3 linked regions of the Notamacropus eugenii genome follow. The protein of the gene in region 2 interacts with the protein of the main gene of each other region in a pairwise test. Links are inferred from orthologs where the notes say so. Each region holds a gene or a part of one and is shown on either strand. Other genes may lie near its edges.

What was found.
Region 1: the proteins of NDRG4 (region 2) and RABAC1 interact in binary tests that used the Homo sapiens proteins (3 or more experiments, as listed by UniProt). The two-hybrid records come from large-scale screens. The link is inferred for Notamacropus eugenii from reciprocal best matches to the Homo sapiens genes NDRG4 and RABAC1.
Region 3: the proteins of NDRG4 (region 2) and REEP6 interact in binary tests that used the Homo sapiens proteins (3 or more experiments, as listed by UniProt). The two-hybrid records come from large-scale screens. The link is inferred for Notamacropus eugenii from reciprocal best matches to the Homo sapiens genes NDRG4 and REEP6.

The regions. Positions count from the first base shown.
Region 1 is NC_092876.1:25,773,582-25,781,166, reverse strand, and holds the start of RABAC1 (prenylated Rab acceptor protein 1), read left to right. Parts: upstream 1-4,501; 5' UTR 4,502-4,659; intron 4,660-4,761; 5' UTR 4,762-4,782; coding exon 4,783-4,844; intron 4,845-5,564; coding exon 5,565-5,780; intron 5,781-6,443; coding exon 6,444-6,541; intron 6,542-7,585. UniProt on the Homo sapiens protein: General Rab protein regulator required for vesicle formation from the Golgi complex. May control vesicle docking and fusion by mediating the action of Rab GTPases to the SNARE complexes.
Region 2 is NC_092872.1:715,566,088-715,573,533, forward strand, and holds the start of NDRG4 (protein NDRG4), read right to left. Parts: upstream 3,036-7,446; 5' UTR 2,999-3,035; coding exon 2,911-2,998; intron 1-2,910. UniProt on the Homo sapiens protein: Contributes to the maintenance of intracerebral BDNF levels within the normal range, which is necessary for the preservation of spatial learning and the resistance to neuronal cell death caused by ischemic stress.
Region 3 is NC_092875.1:62,873,941-62,881,759, forward strand, and holds the start of REEP6 (receptor expression-enhancing protein 6), read left to right. Parts: upstream 1-4,735; 5' UTR 4,736-4,979; coding exon 4,980-5,094; intron 5,095-7,819. Other genes in the region: PCSK4 (proprotein convertase subtilisin/kexin type 4), read right to left, coding at 1,333-1,821. UniProt on the Homo sapiens protein: Required for correct function and survival of retinal photoreceptors. Required for retinal development.

The DNA.
Region 1 (7,585 bases), on a different chromosome or scaffold from region 2:
CTCTCCTAAGGAAGAGTTCCCCCTGCACATGTAACCAGGACCCTGAATAAAGCCTAACCCTTGTTCGACTCCGGAAAGTCTCTTCTCTCATACGTTTATCCGGTTTGGCCAGCCGAAGACCTGCAATAGGTAAGGTAAGACTCGGGTAGCCCTCAGGCCTCTAGGCCTGGCATAGTTCCATATCCTGTGACTCACAACATGTATTGAGTGTCTGAATACTAAGGCTCCGAGGTACCACAGGGGCCACAATGCAATACATGCAGGGGTGTGCTGGGGGCAGCTCGTTCTGGCTCTGACAGCTGATTATTATTTTTTCAGCATGAATACTGACACCTTGGAAATCAGAAAATGCTACAAAGCAGGGCTGGATTCACTGTTTTGTGGATTGTTCAGACTTAAGAAAGTGATGAACAAGACGTTAATGGTGAAGGCTAAATGTAAATGTGTGTTCTGAGTATATTTTTTTCAGTCAGTTGTTCAACATTTATCACCATGCACCCCTGTCAATGGACCAATGCTAAGGCTCCTACAATGTTCCGTTATTATTATTTTGTCAATATATACATCAGATTGCCAGAAATTATGTTTCCAATTATTTCCTGAGGTCCAGGACTACTGCTTCCAAAGCATACCGTGTGTCAGCCATAGCCACCTTCATGTACCTGTGGAGTCCTGGGAAACCAGAGAAGACCTCTCCAGATAGACTGCCAGATCTGGAGTCAGGAAGACTCCTCTTCCTAGCTGTGTGGCCCCGGGCAAGTCATTGCACCCTGTTTGCTTCAGTTTCCTCATCTGTAAAATGAGCTGGAGAAGGAAATGGCAAACTACTCTAAAATCTCTGCCAAGAAAACCCCAAAAGGGTCTATGAAAAACAGGAAATGACTGAAGAACACAGGCCTCTCTTGCCTTTACCCATTTATAAGCACGTGTGTGCTTTACAGTTTGAAATCCTATGACTACCACTCTCCCAAGAGAAGGGATGAGGTTCTTTCCAACTGGAGGAGGAGGAGATTTCTAGTCTCTTTCATTCTTTGGGTTCTCTTCAAGCTTTGGGTCTTTTTGACCTTCTCCATCCCCTTGGGCACTTCTAGTTTCTAGCTTTGATGCCAACCCCACTTCAGGATGAAGGAAAAGCCTTGGGAGAAGCCAGCATAAGAAAGGGAAGTCTCCATTGTGGCCCTGTCCCCACCTTGCCCCACTAGAGACTTTGGGGAGTTTTCCCCATGGTGAGATCTAGGACTCTCTCTCCTTTCAGCTGTTACCCCGCTCCAATGGGAGAGTTCCTTCCCTCTGTACTGTTGGGTGTAGATTCTCCCACATAGACATTCTCTGATGTGATTTTCTATCCACTCGGATAGAGATGGGTCTCTTTGCTACTTCCAGTGTGTGTTCATTGTGGACCTGGCATTTGATGGAAAAGGAGTCAAGTCTTGGATACAAACCTTGGGGTCCCACTCTCCCCCGATAATGAGAGAGCCATCAGAAGTTAGACAGCCCCTGACAATCACATTCCCTAGATGACAAGACTGAAGGAGCAGATAGAGAAGTCCAGCCTGGTACCCTCTCTCCGAGGAGAGCAGAGTGGTCAGCCTCTGGCCTTACCCTCTTGCTTCTCCCCTTATCCTCTCTCCACATCCCCACAAGAATGGGGAGGAAAAGCTAGAGATGCCTATTTTTAGAGCCACCACCCAGACACACTCAGGCTACACGTGGAGGACAGCCCTTGCCACCACACCAGGGCCTCTCCACACTACCCTGGAATCAGTTCGACTACCCTACTCCTAAGGACTACAACTCCCGCAATCCCAACGATCCAAGACCTCGTCCATTTCTTGGACCTCAGTACTACAACTCTAACAATGCCCTCTGCCTGAGGGCTACAACCTACCCTACAGCTCCCACAATTCCAACAACCTAAGGCGTGTCCATTTCTTGGGCCTAAGGACTACAGCTCCCACAATGCCCTGCTCCTTCAGACACTGGAACTACAACTGTCATATTATCCTAGATCCACTTCCCCTTAGTCGTGAGGGCTTATGGAAAACTATGACAAAACTTGGTTGCCCAGAGAAGTTTATCAATATAGTACATCAATTTCATGATGGCATGTTTGCTCGGGTTCTGGATAATGGACAAAGCTCTTGTGCCTTCCCGGTCACTAATGGAGTGAAATAGGACTGTGTGCTTGCTCTCATGCTTTTTGGCATGATGTTTTCAGCCATGTTGACAAATGCTTCCAATGAGGATGAACACGGCATCAAGGTCAACTACCATACTGATGGTAAGTTCTTCAATTTGAAAAGGCTACAAGCCAAGACCAAAGTGGAGGGAATGTTGGTGCATGATTTTCTGTTTGCAGATGACTGTGCACTCAGTGCAGCCTCTGAAGCTGAGATGCAACAAAGTATGGATCAATTCTCTGCTGCCTGTGCTCATTTTGGACTAATAATTAACACCAAGAAAACACAGGTGCTCCATCAGCCACCACCACACCATCCATACATGGAACCATCAATTTCAACAAATGGAGAAGTTTTGAATGTTGTAGATAAGTTCACTTACCTTCGTAATGTACTTTCCAGGGATGTACATAATGACAATGAGGTTGAGGCATGCATTACCAGAGCTAGCTCAGTGTTTGGGAGGCTCCAAAGAAAAGCTTGGGAGAGAAGAGTATTAGACTGACTACCAAACTGAAGGTCTACAGAGCTGTTGTGCTGACTGACCTCATTGTTACAATGCTTGTGAAACATGAACAGTCTACCAGCACCATGCCAGGAAACTGAATCGCTTCCACTTGAACTGTCTTAGGAGGATTCTGAGGATCACCTGGCAGGATAAGGTACCAGATACTGGAGTCCTTGCTCGAGCTGAACTGCCAAGTATTCAAACTACGCTTCAGAGAGCACAACTCTAAGGGGCTGGCTACATTGTTCAAATGCAAAATGTACACTTGCCAAAAAGATTACTTTATGAAGAACTCGCATGAGGCAGGCGATCACATGATGGGCAGAAGAAATGATATAAGGACACTCTCAAGGTCTCTCTCAAGAACTTTGGATTTGATTGTGCAACATGGGAGACACTGGCACAGGACCGCTCAACATGGTGTGCCCACTTAAGAAAAAGTGCTGTGTTCTTTAAGCAAAGCAGAATTGAAACAGCACAAAGTAAATGTAGGATGCTCAAATCTGAGACATCCACCCCAAAATTTACACGGACTATCTGTGCCCAACCTGTGGTAGAGCATTTCGAACTCATATTGGTCTGATCAGCCACAGTCAGACATACTGAAATTTCACTTTATCATAGTGATATCATTTTGGTTCTTTTGAAAGATGAAGGGCAACAACCAAAGATCCACTTCCCCAAAGTCACCTTAAGGATCAGAGTGTGTGTGTGTGTGTGTGTGTGTGTGTGTGTGTGTGTTTGTCCTTCGTTGCCAAAGAAAACCATGCCATAATGACATGACTTGCACTTGACTTTGTTTTGAGTGAAGGAGGGTTGTGCAGGTCACCAGCATCACTTCTCCTCCAGAGCCATCTGAATCCAGTGACCAGATATTCATCAGGATGACTGGAGATGACCCAGGATGAGGCAGTTGGGGCTAAGTGACTTGCCCAAGGTCACACAGCTAGTGAGTGTCAAGTGTCTGAGGTGAGATTTGAACTTAGGTCCTCTTGACTCCTGCACTGGTGCTCTATCCACTGCACCACCCTATACCAATCAGATCAAAGAACGTTCCTTTCTTTGCAGGAACTTTGCATCTATGTTGTTTTAGTATCTGGATAAAAGTGCGAAATTCAAAACCAGTCAGAACATTTCAAAATAGTCAAATGTCTGAATCTGGAAAAAAGTAGGCAAATGAATTGAATTCTTGCAGATTTTTTGCCTTGAGTAGCTACAGATGTTACTTAAAGGTTACTTTGCTATGTGTTTAACTAGTTTGGACATTTATGAATAGTTTTACAATTGAATGTGTTACCCTGATCAGTGACAAGTAGTCGGAAATGGAGTCATCCTTCCTTGGCAACATCAATAAATACCTCTGAAGAGGAATCTTTTCTGGACCCAAAGCCTTCAGAAGATTTTTGGCTATCTAAGACCTACAAAAAAGTCCCAAAATATAATAAGATGTCTTCTATTTTCCTCTTTTAATCATTTTTATGAAGGAGGAATCTAGGGATCCAAAGAAGGAATCGAGGCCAATGAGATCTTCAGTACTCAACTTTCCAATTCCTTGTCATTTCAACTAACTTGGTTAGAACCTAATGAATACCTCCTTTACACTCTCTTTTGCAATTCCTAATCACTTGGTAGCTGTACCTAACTTCCCTCACCAGTTCTCACTAACTGAAACTCCCTCTACCTATGTAAGTTGGCACATTCTCTGTAATTTATAGTCCTAGAGAGTTAGGATCAAAGGACCAGAGAGAGCCCCAAAGAACGCCTACCAAGCCCTCCCCCGCTCCGAACTACAACTCCCATGATGCCTTGCTCCCACGCCTCTCCTTCTGGTAGGCCAGAATCCGGCGCAGAAGAGCCCGAGTTCCCTCCACAGCCCTCGGACTACGACTCCCAGCAGCCTCCTGGCCACGACAAACGGTCCCGCAGCCACTTCAGATCCGGAGGCGGCGGCGGCGGCGGCAGCAGCAGGGGGTGAGTTAGAGGGGCCCGGGCCGGGAGGATGCGGAGGGGCGTGCGCCCGGGGGGGTGCCTCCTGGAGGCAGCAACAAGGCTCTCCCTGCTCTCCCCCCACAGCCGTAGGAGCAGCTGGAGAAGATGGCGGCGGGAAGCGACTTTAACCCCGGGACTGAGGAGGAGAGTCCGGGGCTCAGTGCCAAGTGAGCTGGGACCCCAGGACTGTGGGCCCCCATGCCCCGGCACCCAGGGGTCCGGACCCCCGCCCTCCAGGAACCAAGAATTCAGACGCCCAGTGCCGTCCCTCCCCCAACCCTGCATGAGTCCGGACCCCCATCCTTACCCCCTTATCCAGCGGTCCAGACCCCCATCCCATGCTCTGGGACCCAGGAATTCAGATGCCCAGTCTCACACCTCCTTCCTCAACCCTACAAGAGCTCAGCCCACCCCCTGGGACCCAGAAAGTGCTGTCAGCCCCACCCCAAGACATAGGAATTTGGACCCCCATTCTCACCTCCCAGGCACCTCGCTGTCCCAGCACCCAATATCCTAACCTCCCAAAGTCCTCTCTGGGACCCTGGCGTTCAGACCCCCAGTCCGTGCCCCAGTGGTGGCACTGTCCTCTCTAGCCCTACCTCCTTCTCTGGTGTCCAGATCCCTAGCCGTACCCCGTGGTTCCCTGGGGAACCCTAGTGCCTTGACTAGTGTCCGACTCCTATCGGAGACCCAGCTGTCTTGACTCCTCATGCCCAGCTCCTGGCAGCGGGACTCAGGCATCCTGATGTCCCAGTTCTGCCCCCTTCGGGCATCCTTCTTCCTTCATCCCCTCGACGTGCGCCTCGGGACTCGTGTCCTGGTCCCGCACCTCCTGCTGCACTTTGGGACCTTATCCCCTACCGAGCCACTTTCCTTGTCTGCGCTAGGACACTGCTGCCCAAGTTGATGCCGGCGGGCTCAGCCGGCCGGGAGTGGCTGGAGCAGCGCCGGGCCACCATCAGACCCTGGGGCCCTTTCCTGGACCAGCGGCGCTTCTCGAAGCCTCGAAACCTGGGCGAGCTGTGCCAGCGCCTGGTGCGCAACGTCGAGCATTACCAGAGCAATTACGTCTTCGTCTTCCTGGGCCTCATCCTGTACTGCGTGTGAGCCCCGCTCCTCCCCAAGACCAAGCCACCGGGCCGATACTGGTCCCTAAGATACATACTGGGTGTGAGCCCCGCTGCTCCCCAAGACCTAGCCACCACTGGCCCCTAGAATACATACTGGGTGTGAGCCCCGCTCCTCCCCAAGACCTAGCCACCGGGCCGAAACTAGCCCCTAGGATACATACTGGGTGTGAGCCCGGCTCCTCCCCAAGACCTAGCCACTGGCCGAAACTGGCCCCTAGGATACATACTGGGTGTGAGCCCCGCTGCTCCCCAAGACCTAGCCACCACTGGCCCCTAGAATACATACTGGGTGTGAGCCCCGCTCCTCCCCAAGACCTAGCCACCACTGGTCTGTCAGATACGTACTGGGTATAGGCCCGCCCCGTGGCGCAGACTTAAGGAGAAGCCCCTGGCCCCTGTGACACAGAGGTGCAAACCTGCCTTCAGGAAGCAAACTCGGTTGAGACCCCCACCTCCCCCAGGGCGTAAACTTATTGAGAAGTCTGCTCGATTAGCTGGGAGCCCCGCCCCAAGGCGCCTCCTCTGTAAGCTGTAAACTCCGCCCTCTGGTCAGGGTCCCAGCCTGTGACCCTGGCCCTCCACCAGGCCAGTGCTGTCTCCAGGCAGTCTCTGAGTCTCTACCCACTGCCCCCACAGGGTCTCGTCCCCCATGCTCTTGGTGGCCTTGGCTGTCTTCTTCGGAGCCTGTTACATCCTCTACCTTCGCACCTTGCAGTCCAAGCTGGTCCTCTTTGGTGAGGCTTGCCCCCGCATTCCCCAGGGAGAGGGCATTGGATTTTGAACCCCATCTCTTGTCTCTTTATCCAGAACCTGCCCCAGGGCCTTCTTGGATAAAGGAGGCAGTTGGGCCATAAGGCTCAGAAAGCTGGCCTCCCTGATCCATTGTCCCAGGTGTTCCAATAGCCACACCTAAGCATCCAGCTTCCCTCCCACCCAGGGAATGAGGAGAGGCCTGAAAGGGCCCTTAGGGACCTTCTAGGCCAGAACTCATTACTGGCCAACTCTGAACTGCCCCTCTCCCCTCTGGAATCTTCAGGAGAAGAAAACTGAGGTCTTTGTGCCCAGCCTCGTGCCATCTAGGAATGCTAGATGTAGGGTCAGGAAGACCAGAATTCAAATCCTGCTTCAGACACTTATTACCTCTGACCTGTGACCAGGCTTCTGTAAAATGAGGGGTTACCTCACCCCGTGCTCTCTTTGGCTCTACAGTTCTCTTGTTCAATCCTCCTCCCCAGAGTAGGAGCTCCCCTGCGAAGTCCCCCCCCCCCCCAGGCTGGGGAACCTATCCCTCTCATTGACAGATCAGATCTCTGAGGGAGCTCAATGGCCTTGGGGGCTACCTAGAAGGAGATGCCTGTGACCTGGTCCTTGAAGGACAGATTGTTCCCTGGGCTGTCTGGGAAGACTTCTCTGCAGGGGGGATTATTGCTAATGGACCTTGATGAAACTCCCAGAAGAAAAGAGATTCCCCTTGGGGGAGGGGAGTTGGTGAGGAGTTCCTGGAATTTGGCCTTGAAATACAAGGCAGGGAATAAATTTTTAAAAATCCAAGGAAAAGCTTGGAGAAAAGAGTCCCCTAGGGGCCTCTGGATGGCCTGCCACAAGGGAGGTGGGAAGCACTGTAGGAGAAGGGACTTCTGCCTCTCTGGATGTCTTCCACAGAAGGTAAGGATTGTTATGGTAGGAATTCCTCTTTGTGTATGGACTAGATTAAGGTTCCACCTCGCCCATTCTGTGATTGGGGGGCGGTGTGAGCAGTGTTTCGGGTGGTCTGGACC
Region 2 (7,446 bases):
CACTATGGTGCTACCTAGCACCCATGTATTAGGATAATTGTTCACCCTTAGAAAAACGACTTAACCTCTGGCCATTCAGTTGAGCAGGTGGGCACCTGATGGGGACCCTATAAGGGTGAACGTCAGGATAGTTTATTGAAGGACTTGGAGTTTCTCAGAAGAAAATTACTGCAGAAACCCACAGACTGCAATTCCATCAGCAGACAGCACTTCCTTTGTGGAAACTCCCTCCACTTGGGCAGACTGGCAATGATTCCCCAACTTTGTAGTCTTAGAGTCAATGGGGGGCAATGGGAGACTGCCATTGTCTGGTCCAGGAGGATGCACCCAGTATGTGCTGGGGCAGGACAAGAACCCAGGTTTACTGGACCTTGTGACCAGCTCTCTCTACATCAGGCTGCCTCTGATGATGGCACACTCAACATAAAGATGTCCCAAGGATTCTGTCCAATGTTGATCTCTCCTTCTGTCTGGACCATGCATGACTGCTCATCTACACCAAAAACAGTAGCTTTGGATGCCATTCAGTTTGGCTTCCTCTTCACTATCTCAAACTGGTTGATGTGGGCAGATTCTGCTTACCTGACCCTCTATGGACTCTACAACGGACAACTTACCACATCCCTCCATCTCCCACCCTGTGTCTTCGCACTGACTACCCCCAATGCCTAGGATCCCCTAAATTCCTGGTCTCAGCTCAAGTCCCAGTTTCTCCTGGTTTCCCTTCCCATCTACTCAGAATATTCACGTTGTATGGACCTTGTTTGACGTATTCTCTTCATAGAAGGTAAGGTCTTTGAGGACAAAGATGGTCTTTTTGTTTTCCCTTTCTTTGTATCTGGCACTTAGCGCTGAGCCTGACCAACAGACAAAGGCTTGTTGACTAACTCCACTCTGATCTGGAGAACAGAATGATAACGAAGTGATTAAGTGAAATAACCCAAGTCCCAAGGGCCACAAAAGCCTCAAAGCATGAACTGAGGGTTAGAGTTGCCATAATTTTTAGCAAGTGACTAGCCCATGAGGGAGAAACAGCTAGCACGCCATTTTTAAATGCTTGGCAATTGATGGATGGACTCCCTGTTAAGACTTCACATGCCCAGCTCTCCTAGAAATGCTTTATGAAGTTATCAACTTCCTTCACATCCCAGTTATCTGGGACTGTGAGAGGAAGGGAGGTCTCTGATCTCCTCTCTCCTCCCCTCGCACTTGGTCATCCCACACAAAGACAGTCCTTTGGAGAAGTGGGTTTAAGAGCCGTGAGCCATTTGGACAGTCTCGGTGCCTCCCCAGAAACTTAGCTCTGAGAACCAAATTGGTAGAGAAAGGAGAGGGACATGTTCCCTGAGTACTCACTGCCCAGAGCAGTGGTCTGTACTCTCATAAAATTCCTAGTAAGGAAGATGGGAATGCTCCTGAAGTGCCCCCAGATGATGTGGGCACCTCTGCTCCAAGGTACTTTGATGGATGATGAAGTCTGGAGAAACTGCTGGCACCCAAACCAGGGTGGTGGATGGTTTCTCACACTACCAACGGTTCTAACCACCAGGGGCCAGCAGTTCAACAGGCTATGAACCACAATGACTACTCAGAGGTTCTCTTCTATGGGAAACAGCCACAGGGGCTGGATTGCTGGCATGCCTTTATTGAGAAAGGTTTTCTCCAGCTCTTGCCTCTAAAACCATTGTATCTATGTCCTCAGGTCTCACGCAGAAGCACTGAGGCAGCTGGATATATGATGTGTGTATAGAGGGCTGAGCTTGGAGGCAGAAGTTGAGTTGCTGTTTTCCTCATCAGTAAAAGAGAGATAAGAAATAGAAGTACCTACCTCCCAGCATTGTGAGGAGAATCAAGTGAGGTGAACATATGTAAAGAACCTTGGAAACCTTAAATGTCCATCAGATTCTGAGTTCCTTGAGGACAGGGATCATCTTTTGTCTCTTTGTATCCCCCTGTACTTAGCATAGTGCCTGGTACACAGTAGGCTCTTACTATTGGTTTATTGATTGATTAAAGGGACATGCATATAAATGCTAGCTATTATTTTTACTAGTCTGCAAGTCTATTGCAGGTTTATTTACCTGTTGCTTACCAAACCATTTTCCTTTTGTTCTCCATTAGAATCTAAGTTCCATGAGAGTTTTCAACCTCCTGCCTGCAGTGAGCATGGCATTCAGCACACAGTAGGTGCCCAACGTTTGCTGAATTGAATTTTCTCCTCACAACCATCCTGTTCAATTTAACTTAATTCAACAGACATTTATTAAGTGCCTACCATGCGCTAAGCATTGGGGATGGTTGTTGTCCTTCATCTTTGAAGAGGACCAAAATGACATCACCATTGTAAAGTGAAATTTCAGTGCGTCCGACTGTGGCTGATCAGACCAACGTGAGCTCGGCATGCTGTATCACACGCTGGGCACAGATAGTCTGTTTGAATATTTGGGATGGATATCCTGATGCAAAAAGAGGCAAAAGACAGCCCCTGCCCTCGAGGTCTTACAATCTAATGGGGAAGACAATGAGCAAACATACATACAAAGCAAGCTCTGTACATCCTATGAGCTAGATGGATAGGAAGGACTTTCCTCCTTTGGCAGATAAGGAGACTGTGGTTCAGAGAGGTCATGGGACTACCCCAGGATCACACAAAACCCATGAGCACAAGGCTAGGTTCCCTAAATCATTTCCCTGCTCAAAAGTGGTCATCGCCATGGTAGAAATGGATGGGCATGAAGGGAGAGAAGCCACACTGCCCACTGCTGAGAGCTTTCCTTGAGTCTCTGGATGGGAACCAGAGGGAGAAGAATATGGAGGTGGATGGGACCTCAGAGGCACCAACTGCCATTTAATTATCACATCCCTGGTTGGGGGGTTGGGGAAGCGAGTGGGCCCAGGACCTGGTCATACCTCTTTTCAGGAGAGGGAAGGGGCCCTTACTCATCTCAGATCGGTGAGAGCCCAGGGAAATAAGGCGTCCAAAGCAGGCTGAAGCCATGGCCCTAAGCAGGAGAAGACCACTGAGAGCCTCTGAGCGAAGGTTCTCTTGTCTCCATGGAAATGACCCAAGCACAGGCAGGTCTGGTGACTGGTCTGGGAGCAGGAAGGGGGACCTGGCTTCTCTCTTTTCAGCCTATGTGTAACACATCTGAGGATGCAGGACTGTTCACCCTTGGAGTTCACCTGTGTCTGGCTGCCTTATCCTCACTCTAGCCTGGCTGAAGGGACTTCAGCCTCAGAACTCCCAGGGATCTTAAACCCCTCTGGCAGGGGGCTGCCCTGAAGCTTGGGTGGCCATGTGGCCAACAGGCCAATTCTCTGGAAACACTTCCTCAGATATACAGAAGAGTGTCAGGTTTGGAGCTAGAAGGGTATCTGAGGAAGGTGACTTTAGTCCAACAGCCTCATTTTACAGACAAGGAAACTGAAGCCCACAGAGGGCATGGGCCTTTCTCAAGGGCACATGGGAAAGTGTAGCAAGAACAGAATTTAAAACGAGATCCTTTGATTCCTGACCCACAGTACTCTTTCTACTAACACTTCTATGATTCCTTCAAGAACCAGGAAATGGAGAAAGGGAAAGAGCCAAGTTTGGTTCAAAAGATAGTTGGGAAATCCCATTGAAGTCTGAGGAAGTCTCTAATTCTACTTGAATTTTGATGCATGGAATACTGCTTCAATAAACGAGGGTTTGGAAATCCTAGGATATTTTTAAAACACTGAATTTTTGGATGGATACTGCAAGACAATCTCTCCATGTAGGTGTGTGTAAAAATTATAAATCATTAGTATATGTAGTATATATAATTTTATATTACAAATTATTGTTTATATATTATGCATAAATAGGTATTTAGAATATATATTTTAAACATAATATAGAAATCTGTAAATATAAGTATGCATAAACTATGTAGATATGCATATCTTTATGTATCAATTTTAAATGTATTTTTTTGCTTTTCAAAAATAATTTTTATTGATGCCTTGCAAATACGTATGCAAATACAAATATGTATCACTGTCCATCTCACCTCTATCTTTAGCTTATGACCTTTGGTAAGTCATTTAATTTCAGTTTCCTCATCTGTAAAATGAAGATGTGTGTTTGTGTATGCACGTGCGGTGGTCACACAAATGGACTAGGTTGGCCACTGAGGTTCCTTGTCAGTTCTAAATCCATCATCCTCCTGCCTTTGGCTTCTTTGTGAATCATCCTCTCACATTCTTTGCCTTGATTCTAAATAGGCATGAATCTCTTCAGCATTTCCTAGAATGTTAACTCTTGAAGAGGACATCAAATGTTACTTAATTTCAAGTCACTATTTTAGAGATGAGGAAAAGTACAGTGGAAAGAACGTTAGCTCAGGAGATGAATGAATTTGGGTTCAAATTTCAAATTTCATCTCCCTCAGTCTCAGTTTCCTCATCTATAAAATTAGAAGACTGGACTAGATCAGGGATTCTTGACTTTTTTGTGTCCTGGACCCCTTTGGCAATCTGGGGATGCATAGGGACCCCTTCTCAGAATCAGATCTTCAAATGCATAAAATATATCAGTAAAAGGAAACCAATATTATTTTTCCATAATAATACCAGTCAGAGACTCTGGAGTCCAGAGGGAGAAGAGACAGTCAGGAAGAGTAATGAGCTCTAGGTTCTACAAAAGGATTTCAGCATAGGTCTGCCCCACTCACTGGCTCCATTGTGGTCCTACAAAGTGATGTATTTCAGGGCTTCCTGGCGGGTGGGTTAATAATAATCCATCCCCTTTGAAAGGATGGCTATCTACCTTGTGCCTGTACCCATTCCTGGGGACACCACATCCATCCCTCTCAATCTGAAGGAGGGAATTGTTCTCCCTACAGTGTCTGGATGCCTCCCAGGATACTTTTTAAGTGGCATCCTCCCAGCATGCTCTACTCCTTTCATGCCCTGCAAATAAGGGCAGGGATATATCACTGGCTCATTTCTGCTCCCTCTCAGGATGCTACAGACGCCCAGGCTGCTGTGAGGTACCCTCTGGGGAGGGCCCCTCAGCATCCTTAGGTATAAAATAGTGCACTCTAAAAATACATCCTCCCACTTCCCTTCTAGACAGTTTCTCATCTGGCTATATGCATCCACATTCTCCTCTTAGGACTTCTGGGGATTCCACCTGGGAGACAGAGAGGGATGATAGATGGAAGCACAGTGCTTTTGCCTTACTAAAATGAATGCTTAGGAAAGAAATAATGATGTCATTTTGCCTTGCTGGAGTCTCAGAGTACAAAATCTTTATGCCTTGCAGAATTCAAACACACTTCCCCCTTGAAAGCCTGAACTCTCAGATACGTATTGTTGTAACCTCTGCCCCCAAACCAGAGCTTTGGGTTTATTATACACAATCTCTCTCTCTCTCTCTCTCTCTCTCTCTCTCTCTCTCATTCTTTGGGATGTTCAGGTTGGATGGTCAGCAGTTTTTCCCAATAGCCAGCCCAAATTTGCCTCTTTGCAATCCCTCCCATTGTTCCTGGATATGCCCCGTGGGACCTGAGACAGTCTAACAATCCCCTTTCCATTTCATAGCCATTTATATACTTTCCAGGCTAAACATTTCCCAATTCTCTCAACACACCTTTGTATGACATGGGCTGCAGACCTCCCGTCATAAGGCTGCTCTCTCCTGGGCCCCCTCCAAATTAGCAATATTCTTCCTTATACATGGTAGTCAAACAGTCCCTGCCGTCAAGGAGCTCACAATGTCATTAATGTTCATAGACCTTCTGAAATCTCTCCATGGCCCCATGTTAAGAACCTCTGCTTTTCTTGTTGTTCAGTTGTATCCAATGCTCCATGACTCATTTGGTGTTTTCTTGGCAAAGATACTGGAGTGGTTTGCCATTTCCTTCTCCAGCTCATTTTACAGATGAGGAAATGGAGGCACCCAAGCTGTAGTGATTCTCTAGATGGGACCTGAGTAGGGCATAGTACAATGGCACTGTCATCTCTCTAGTCCCAGACCCTCTATTTCTTTTAGTGAAACCTGAGTCTCTTTGAGCTGTCTTGCCTACCATAATCATACCCTTGACTCCTATTGAATTTTCAACCCGATAAAACTCCCAACAGTCAACTAGTGGTCTAGCCATGCCCCCTTCATCTTCTATGAAGTTAACTTTTGTGAGCCCACGTGTGAGTCTTTACATTCGTTCCTATTACGTTTCGTCTTCTTAGAATCAGCCCAATATTCCAATCTGACAACATCTCTTTGAATCCCTCCCAGTTCTGTGTCATCTGCAAATGTAATAATCAGAATATTTAATTCTTTATTTGTCACTGATAAAGCTAAGCAGCACAGTGGATAGAGAGCACTAGATCTGGGAATCAAGAAGATGGGAGTTCAAATCCTTCCTCAGACTAGTTGTGTGACCCTGGGCAAGACATTTAACCCTGACTGCCTCAGTTTCCTCATCTGTAAAATGAGCTGGAGAAGGAAATGGCAAATCACTCAATTTCTTCACCAAGAGAATTCCAAATGGGATCACATCTCCTCTTTCGACTTTGCTTTCCTCATCTGTGATATAGGGATAATAAGAGTACCTACCTCACAGGGTTGTCATGAGAATCAAATAAGGTAACATACAGCTTTGTAGACCACAGCTTTAGAAACACTAGCTATTATCACCACCGTTGTTACGTTAAACATAACAGGCAAGCCATTATATGAGCAACCCATAATAATGGGCAAACCATGATCTCTGGGAACTCAGTCAATCACCAAGCATTTATTAAGATGCACTGGGGCTATAAAGAAAGGAAAAAACTCCAACCCAGTCTCTGCTCTCAAGGATCTTACATTCTAATGTCAAAAATAGGAAGATACAAGATCCATACTGAGCAGGATGAGGGAACCGAGGCGCATCAGGACAGCAAGTGGTTAGCTGCAGAAATTGAGTGAACCACACTGACTCCATCTTATGACTCAGTTCTGAAGCTAACTCAGTTCCCTTTCTATTCCGTTATGGGTCTGATCCAAATTCTCTACTGTGAGAAAACTATTCAACTGTGGAAACTGGGAGAAAACCTTATTGCATTGTTTGAACCTAACCCCATGTGTTTGAGAATCCGGACCGCCTCTACCTATGGCTTGGAGACCCCTAATTAAGGACATTGGTTATGCTGATCAGAAAGAGATTGATGTACCAAAGACTGATGCAAGGAGTTTTCTTACAATTGTACATTTCAAGCAATCCATATGTATTATCTGAAAACTGATCAATCAGTTATCGTTTCCGTGTTCCTTTATTGTATACACACCCTTGGGGAGAGTAGGACACCTCACACCTCTTTTTCTGATTTCAGGGAATTGTACCTGTTTGCTCTGCCCCACTCCCCCACCCTCCAACTAGGAAGTGCCTACTCTTTCCTCCAACTAGAAATCAGATTACTTAATGCTCTGTTGTTTCC
Region 3 (7,819 bases), on a different chromosome or scaffold from region 2:
TCAATGAACAGACTTCTTTAAGCAGTTGCTCAAGGGATGATCCCTTTAATCAAAAAAAAAAAAAAAAAGCACTGTGGCCACTTCTACTCCTTCCATTACCTTTTTTTTTTTTTTTTACCTTTTATACAATGTTATGTTTTAGTGCCAGAAAATTCCCTTCCCTCTAAATATTATCTTTTAATTTATCAGGTAGTCAAGTTGCAAGTCTTAGTATTAACAATGGAGCCTCAGTAGAGGAATAATTTTCAACCATCACTAGGGTTAAAGTAACAAAGTCTGCCAGGGCAAGGGGGAGGAGGCCCAGATTTCTCAATTACTAGCTCTGGAGCTTGAGTTCTTGCCTCTGAAGTTTACTATTAGGCAAGCTACATCCTTACCTGTGCCTCAGTTTCCTCCTCTGTGAAATTGATTTTACACTCAGTCCCTTTCAGCTCTAGCTCCATTGTTAATATCTAAATATCTAATAATCTAAAAAATGGCAATGTATAAAAGCAAAAAAAAAAAGTAGCTAACGGAAGGCATGGAAGTGGCCCCAGTTGCCAAGGGCTAGAGCTTATGGAGACAGACTCAGGAAGATGGTAGACAGCCCATGGATTTGGCAGAAGAGTCGGCAGTCCCGTTCAGCTGGAATGCAAAGTGTATAAACAAGAGTATTCACTTGGCAAAGAGGCCAGCTCCTAGCAAAACTTTTCTCCTGAGCTCCAAACTCCACCGGGGTGTCCCACAGGTACTTTAAATCCTACCTGGTCAAAACCCAGCTCCACGTATTCCTTCTCAGTCCCTCTGTCAAAGCCAGTTTCTAGCTAGGCAGCCTGGCTCCCTCCCCTCCACTCTGCTGCAGGGTAAGGCATCCTAGGTTAGGTGCAGCTTTTCTGTCAGAATTGGCTACCTAGTATCCCATTGATTTGTGAACAATTTTATCTTATCTCTCAAAATTATCGGAGGTCAGGGATTGGGTTTCCCCCCCCAGTGAGTACATGTTATCCCCCTAAGTCAGTACCTTTTAAAAATTCATTTGTTGCAAAGCAAGGGCCCAGCACAGAGCTGAATGGCTTAATAACTTGTTTACTGAGAATGAGAAAGTATAATGGTGTCGGGAGGAATCTGTGCCAGTGTTGGGGGGAGGGGGTAGCCAGGGAGGATCAGAGTACGTATGGAGAGGGCAGTACAATGGCTGAATGCTGGGGGATGGGGAGGAGACTGTGCCTGGGGGTGGGGGTGGAGTGAGAAGGCTTGAGAAGCTCCCACCTGAAGGCCAGGAGGGGTGAAGAAGGTGGCATCCATGCCCTTGGCAGAACCCAGAGCCCTAGAGAGGCTGCCCGGGTGTCCTACCTGCCCCAAATTGACAAAGCCGAACTTTCGGGCCAAGCGCTCGGCCTCCTGGCTGCCTCCAGGCAGCAGCACAGCCCAACTGCTAACATAGATGGGGACCGCTGAGAAGTGGCCCCCTCGACGCCGGCCGCGACCCCGGCCGGTCACTAGTTCTTGTCTGGGCTTCTCTGGGGAGATGGAGACTAGAACCCGGGTTAAGGCCAGGGCTAGGACCAAGGTCGGAAATAGGGTCCGAACCAACCTCAGCCGGGTCCAGCCCAGCCCCATGGTAGTCGGGGGCCGGGGGAAGCCCCTTCCACCGGACAAACAGTCTCTAGGGTCCCGGGGGGCGTTGTTTAAATGCCCCCTCCTCCCACCCCCACCCCCCGGCAAGAATGGAGTAGCCCCGACCCCTGGGAACCAGAGTGAAGCAACCCCCGATCCCTGGACGCCTCTTCTCGGCTCCATGGCAACCCCTTCCCCCCACCCCCGGGGGGGGGGGGGCTTCATTCCCAGGGGGCCATGCGACCACCTAACTGTATACGGCCGGGGATCGGGTTGGGAAACCGGCCCCCGGTGCCTTGGGGAGTGGGGGAGGACTACCGGGAGAAGGAGACACCCCAGGGGAGTGGGAACAGGATAGGACCTTCTCTCTTCTAGTTCCCTCTTCCATCCTCATTCTTAACCTGGAGAACCAGGTTCGACTTCTGATTTCATCAGTCTCGCTGTGTAACCTTGGGCCAGTCATGCCCCACTTTTGACTCTCAGTAGTCTTCTGTGTAAAGAGAAGGTTACACTAGATCAGGGTTGGGGAAACTGCGGCTTCAAGGCCACATGTGACCCTCCACGTCTTCAAGTGTGGCCCTTTAACTGAATCCAAACTTCACCGAACAAATCCCCTTAATAAAAGTAGGTTCCCCACCCTGGCACTAGATTCGATCTCTAAGTCAGAAAAGGTCTTTCCAGAGAGCATTTAATTAGTGGCAAAGAGGGTGGCCTGAGGCTAATTATGGGCTTTCTCTGATTTGAGTTGATTCAGTCATTCAGTAGCAACTGCTAGAGTTTTCTATAGTACTTTACAGTATACCCTGCAAATACTGAAATCCCCATTTTAAAGAGGAACAAAGTGTGGCACGGAGAAGGGAACTGAACTGACTTGTCCAAAGTCACACTGCTTTGCTAGTCAATCGGTTAGTCCATAAATGTGCCAGATACTGGGTGCTAAGAGCTGGCATTGTAAAGAAAGTCAAATGTTCTCCAAGGACTTACAATCTAATTGTATGGGGAAACACCACGAAGATAACTTCGTATAAACAAGCTGTATTCAGGATAAATCTGAGATAATCAACAAAGGGAAAGCACTAGAATTTAGTGCCATGGAGAAAGGCTTCCTGTAAAGGGTGGGATTTTTAGCAAGAGGCAGAGCTGGAATTTGACTGTTTCTGCTCTAATAATTTCATCTAATCATGTCCTAAGTCCTATACATTGATCTTGTCCATCTCTAGCTTCATCATGGCTCCTACCCTAATTCGGACCACTGGATGGTCCAGCTGAACTGCCCTATTTGCTTGTTAATTTCCTTGTACAATCTTTTGTTTTGATGTTTGTACTGGCTGTGCCCTCCCTCCTATCTGAGGTATTTCTACCCTCCCCCCTACCATGGAACTAGGGTTCCTCCCCTAGCCCGTAACCTTGGATTTATAATGTGTATATTTTGTATGTATTTTCATTTGTGTCTTTATGTCCCTGGCATAGTGTCTGGCACGTAGTAGATGTTATAAATTCTTCTGACTGATTGATTCATCACTTCTAGCCTAACTGATCTCCCTGTCCACCCTCCCTTCTCCAATTTATCTTATACTAAAAGCCAAGATAATCCATCTATCTAGGGTCCAAATTTGACCATATCACTCCCTTGCTAAAAATAACCTTCAGGAGGCAACTAGGTGGCTCAGTGGAGTGAGCACTGGCCCTGAAAGTCAGGAGAACCTAAGTTCAAATGCAGCCTCAGACACTTGCTAGCTGTGTGACCCTGAGCAAGTCACTTAACCCCATTGCCTAAAATAATAAATAAATAAAATTTAAAAATAACAACCCCAAACCTTCAGTGGTTCCCTATTGCCTATACGCTAACATACAAATTTCTCAGTCTCCATAATCTGCCTCCAACCTACCTTTCCAAATTCATTTTTACATTCTATCACTCCTCTTTAGGAGCTCTATATTCCAGGTAAACTGTCCTGTTGTTTTCTCAAACTCAAAGAGCTACTATCTCCCTGGACTGGCTCCAGTTCTTTCCATTCCCCACCCCCCATAACTGGAATGCATTTCCTCCCCATCTCTGCTTCTCAGAATTTTTGCCCTACTTCAATGAAGTACTAGATTTAACTTCCAAGGTAACCTTTCCACTGAATTTTATTGCCCAACAAAATAGGGCACCACTCCCTTTCTTGTATCATTTTTATAATAAAGATAAAAACAAGTATTTACTACAGAATGCTTTAAAATTGACAAGAAGCTTTGAACATATTATCTCATTTGGTTTTTCACAACAACCCTATGAGCTAGTTCTATTAGTATTCGAATTTTACAGACAAAGAAACTGAGACTGAAGGAAATTAAGTGACTTGCCCAGGGTCACACAACTTGGTAAGTGTACATGTATCTTCTATTACTTTAGAACACAAGCTCCTTGTGGGCAGGAATTGTATACTTTTTATTTGTGTGTCCCTGACCTTCAGAACTGAGCACTGTGCCATACACAGAGGCATTTAATCTTTGTTGAATGAACTAGGTCTTTAGTTTCCAAATTCAGGGTTCTTTCCACTACATCACATTGCGTTCCCAAACATTTATTGAACTCCTGCTGTGTGCAGAATACTAAGTGGAACTTCTTCATGGGATGTCAAGAGGGAGGAAAAATTTGGAATGTAAAATGGACCAGGGTGGAGGCTGGGGGGTGGGGAGAAGCATAAGACTGGTTCACCGGGGTACTTCGGCTCCAGGTGTGGGAGTAATGAGTTTGGAAGCCCAAGGATTAGTTAGGAAGGAGAGGGAGAGGGAAAGGAGAGGTGGGGAGGAGCCTAGACTGGCTGGGGTCTGGGAGTGGGAGGGACGTTAACTTACCTAGGAGACCTGGCACTTGTGGACCTTGAGGGGGCCCATAAATAAAGAACTGGGCCTTCCTGGTCTCCCCTGGGTCTCCCCTAGCCTCTCGCCTACCTGTCTCCTCCGCGTCCCAGTTCTCTCCCAGGCCCAGCCCCCTCTTTTCTCTCCCGCCTAGCTCACAGGTGGGTGGCTCGGGGCACTCGGTGCGAGGAGGGGCAGGAACGGGTTGGGAGAAAAGTCCCGCCTCCTTTGTCCGTTCCGCGTTCTCATTGGCCAGTGTGGGCAGGGTGGGCCGACCGAGGCCCCGCCTCGATTTTCCGTCCAATCCTATAGTCAGGGGGCGGATTCAGGTCGTCCCCAGCAGTTGCAGGACCACGAGGTGGGAGGGAGGGAAGGAAGGGGAGGGACCGGGGGACCGGAGGAGTGGAGGTACTGGGAGCCTGGAGAGGGAGACACCACCAGCACCGCTGCAGAGCAGCGGGGAAGCCCTGGAGGTCGCCCCTTGGACCCGGGTCCAGTCATCCTCCGTCCCCTCTCCTCCCCCCTCGGTCCCAGGAGCCATGGGTAGCTTGAAGCAGCGCTTCCAGAGGTTCCTGGAGCAGAAAAACTTTGTCACCGATGTCCTGGGCAAGCTGGAGGAAGTCACCGGGGTCAGAAAGTACTACATGGCTACAGGTAAGGACCTCCGGGCCCCCTCCTCCAGATAAAACCTTGGGCGCTCAGAGATCCTCTGGCCATAGAAACTTAGAGTTAAGAAATCGAAAAGCTGCATCTCATTCCCCATATTGTAGATGAAGAAGCCAATGCCCAGTGAGATAAGGGGAATTCCCTAGGTTGTTCAGAAAAGACCAGAACCCGAACCTCTTAGTTCCTGGTAGGGCTCTTTATGGAAATTGTTGTACTTGCTACCCTTGGTAATTCATATTCTCTGTCCTCTCTCCACCACCTTTAATTAACTGGCTTGAAATGTCATGGGTTGGGGGTTGATCTGCTATCATCCCACAGCGGCAGCTGGAAAAGTTCCAGCATCACCCCTGGATTGCAGTCCCTCCCAAGGGGGCAAGTAGGTAGGGGAAGATTCCCTCGTATTTATAGGAGTTGTAGCTTGAAGAGCCCTATTCTGGTGCTCAGGACCCCAAATCACACAACTGTAGAATAACCTTGGAACACGGAACCACAGAATTGGGAAATGATCTAGGGCCATCTAGTGTAGCTCTCTCTGTTAATGGAGGGGGAAACCAACCCTTGCCTAAAGTCACACAAAGGCCAGAAAGAATGGGGGAGGGGACAGTATAGTGCCTGAGGCTAAAGCAGCTTAGCTCGGGTAAAGGAGGACCTGAGAGGTGGGGCCAGTACTACCAATAACTAGCCTGTCTGGTCCTAATGGAGCAGATCAGCCTCCTAGGGACACTTTACTTCCAGGACTTTTAGGCAGTCAGGTCTAGTTCTCTGTTCTCAGGACCCTTCTAGGAGTTTTCCTGGGCCCATCTGGGAAACCCTGCTTGGTGGGGACGAGTATCATATCATCTTGCCCTTTGATATCCCCCAGCTCTTGGACTTTGAGAGTGCTGTGCCAGGCACATTCTGAGAGAGGCCATGTTGAAAGTCTGACTTGGGCACCCAGAGGTCTACTGAGCCTGGGTCCAGGCTCTCTCCCTTTTTGGGGCCCTCTTCGAAGGAGATCCCCAGATTATCTGTTTCTGGTCCTTCCAGTTGCTTGGTCTGCTCTGGGGCAAGGGGGAGGAGGTGGCTGGCTTCGTGGGACAGAGCACAGAATGGTTGTGCTGCCTTTGTGCAAGGCCCTGGCAGACAGCCCTAGGGGCCAAAGCCCAGCCTGGGAGGCTGGGCCAGGGAGTTCAAGTTTAATCTCTGACAACCCACCCTATGTCTCAAGGCTGATTCCAGGGGTGATTCCAGTTCATACCAACTTCGGGGAGCACTTCCAATATTCTCTCCCTCCTGGTGCTTCAGATACTTAGCATATTCCTGACACTGCTTTCAATTGAATTTGTAAAGCTCTCAGTTGAGCTTCTCTGTAAGTAGCAGAGTAGAGATGAGGCCTGGAGTAAGAAGACCTGAATTTGAATGTGACCTCAAATACTTACTGTGTGACCTTGGGCAAGTCATTTAACCTCTGTCTGCCTCAGTTCCCTCATCTGTAAAATGGAGATCTTAACAGCACCTCTCTGCCAAAGTAGTTGTGAGGATTGAAGTCGATAACATTTGTAAAATTTAGAACTATATAAATTCTAGCTACTTGTTACATGTCAGTTGATAGATTGTTAGAGCCAGAAGAGACTCCCATTCAGGGTTTTCTTGACAAAGATAGTGAAGTAGTTTGCCATTTCCTTCTCCAGCTCATTTTCCAGGTGAGGAAACAGTATTAAGGCAGGCAGACAGTATTATGTGACTTGCCCTGGGTCATACAGCTAGTAAATGTCTGAGGTCAAGTTTGAACTCAAGTCTTCCTGACTCTAGGCTCACTGTGCCACCTAGCTGCCCAAGAAGAGACCATATTAGCTTGCATTCACTTACCTCTCTGTACAGGTTTCTTCCTCTAGTAGGATGTAAGTTCTTAGAGGGCAGGTTGTTGAATTAAATGGAATATGCCTTCTCCTCCCCATCTCCCCAGTTTTCAGAGGAGAAAACTGAGACCCAGGAAAGTGAAATATCTTGTTCATGATTACCCAGCTCCCTCAGATGATGATGATCAAGGTATAGTGGCTAGAGCACTGCACTTGCAATCAGGAAGACCCGGCTGCAGTTGCTGGCTCTGCTAGTTGTTAGTAGAGGTCAGCTGTGGTCAGCTCACCTCTCCGAGAGTCTTTTTCTATAAAATGGGGGTAATAACTGCACCCACTTTACTGAGTTGTAGGGCTCAAATGAGATATAACAAGTAAGTAAAGGCACTTGGAAACCTTGTTCAATATAGAAAGGTTTTTAAAGTGCTTTATTATACTTACTATTTCCTATTCAAACTTTAACCTGCAGTGAGGCAGATAGTATTATTATCATCCCCATTTTACAGATGAGGAAACTGAAACTCAGACTGTGGTCACCCAGTTAGCAAGTGGCAGAGGGGGCATTCGAACACAGATCTTATTCGCTCCAAGCCCTACCGCTCCTCAGTACCCCAAAATACTGAGGTCAACTTAACTCCCCTTAGAGATGAGAAAACTGGAGCCCACAGAGCAGAGGTGATTTGTGCAAGGTCCTACCCTCAGTCAGCAGGACAATTGTGCAGAATTCTCATTATCTCATTCCCCACAGAAGCTGTTTGAAATTATGTCTTTCTTCAAGCCTCCTAAACTCTCCCCTCCCCAACCTCTTAGCTGAAGATCTTTTCTTCTCTTTATTTCACCCTCCCTTGTCATCACTCCCCCATTTTCCCTAGTCTCTG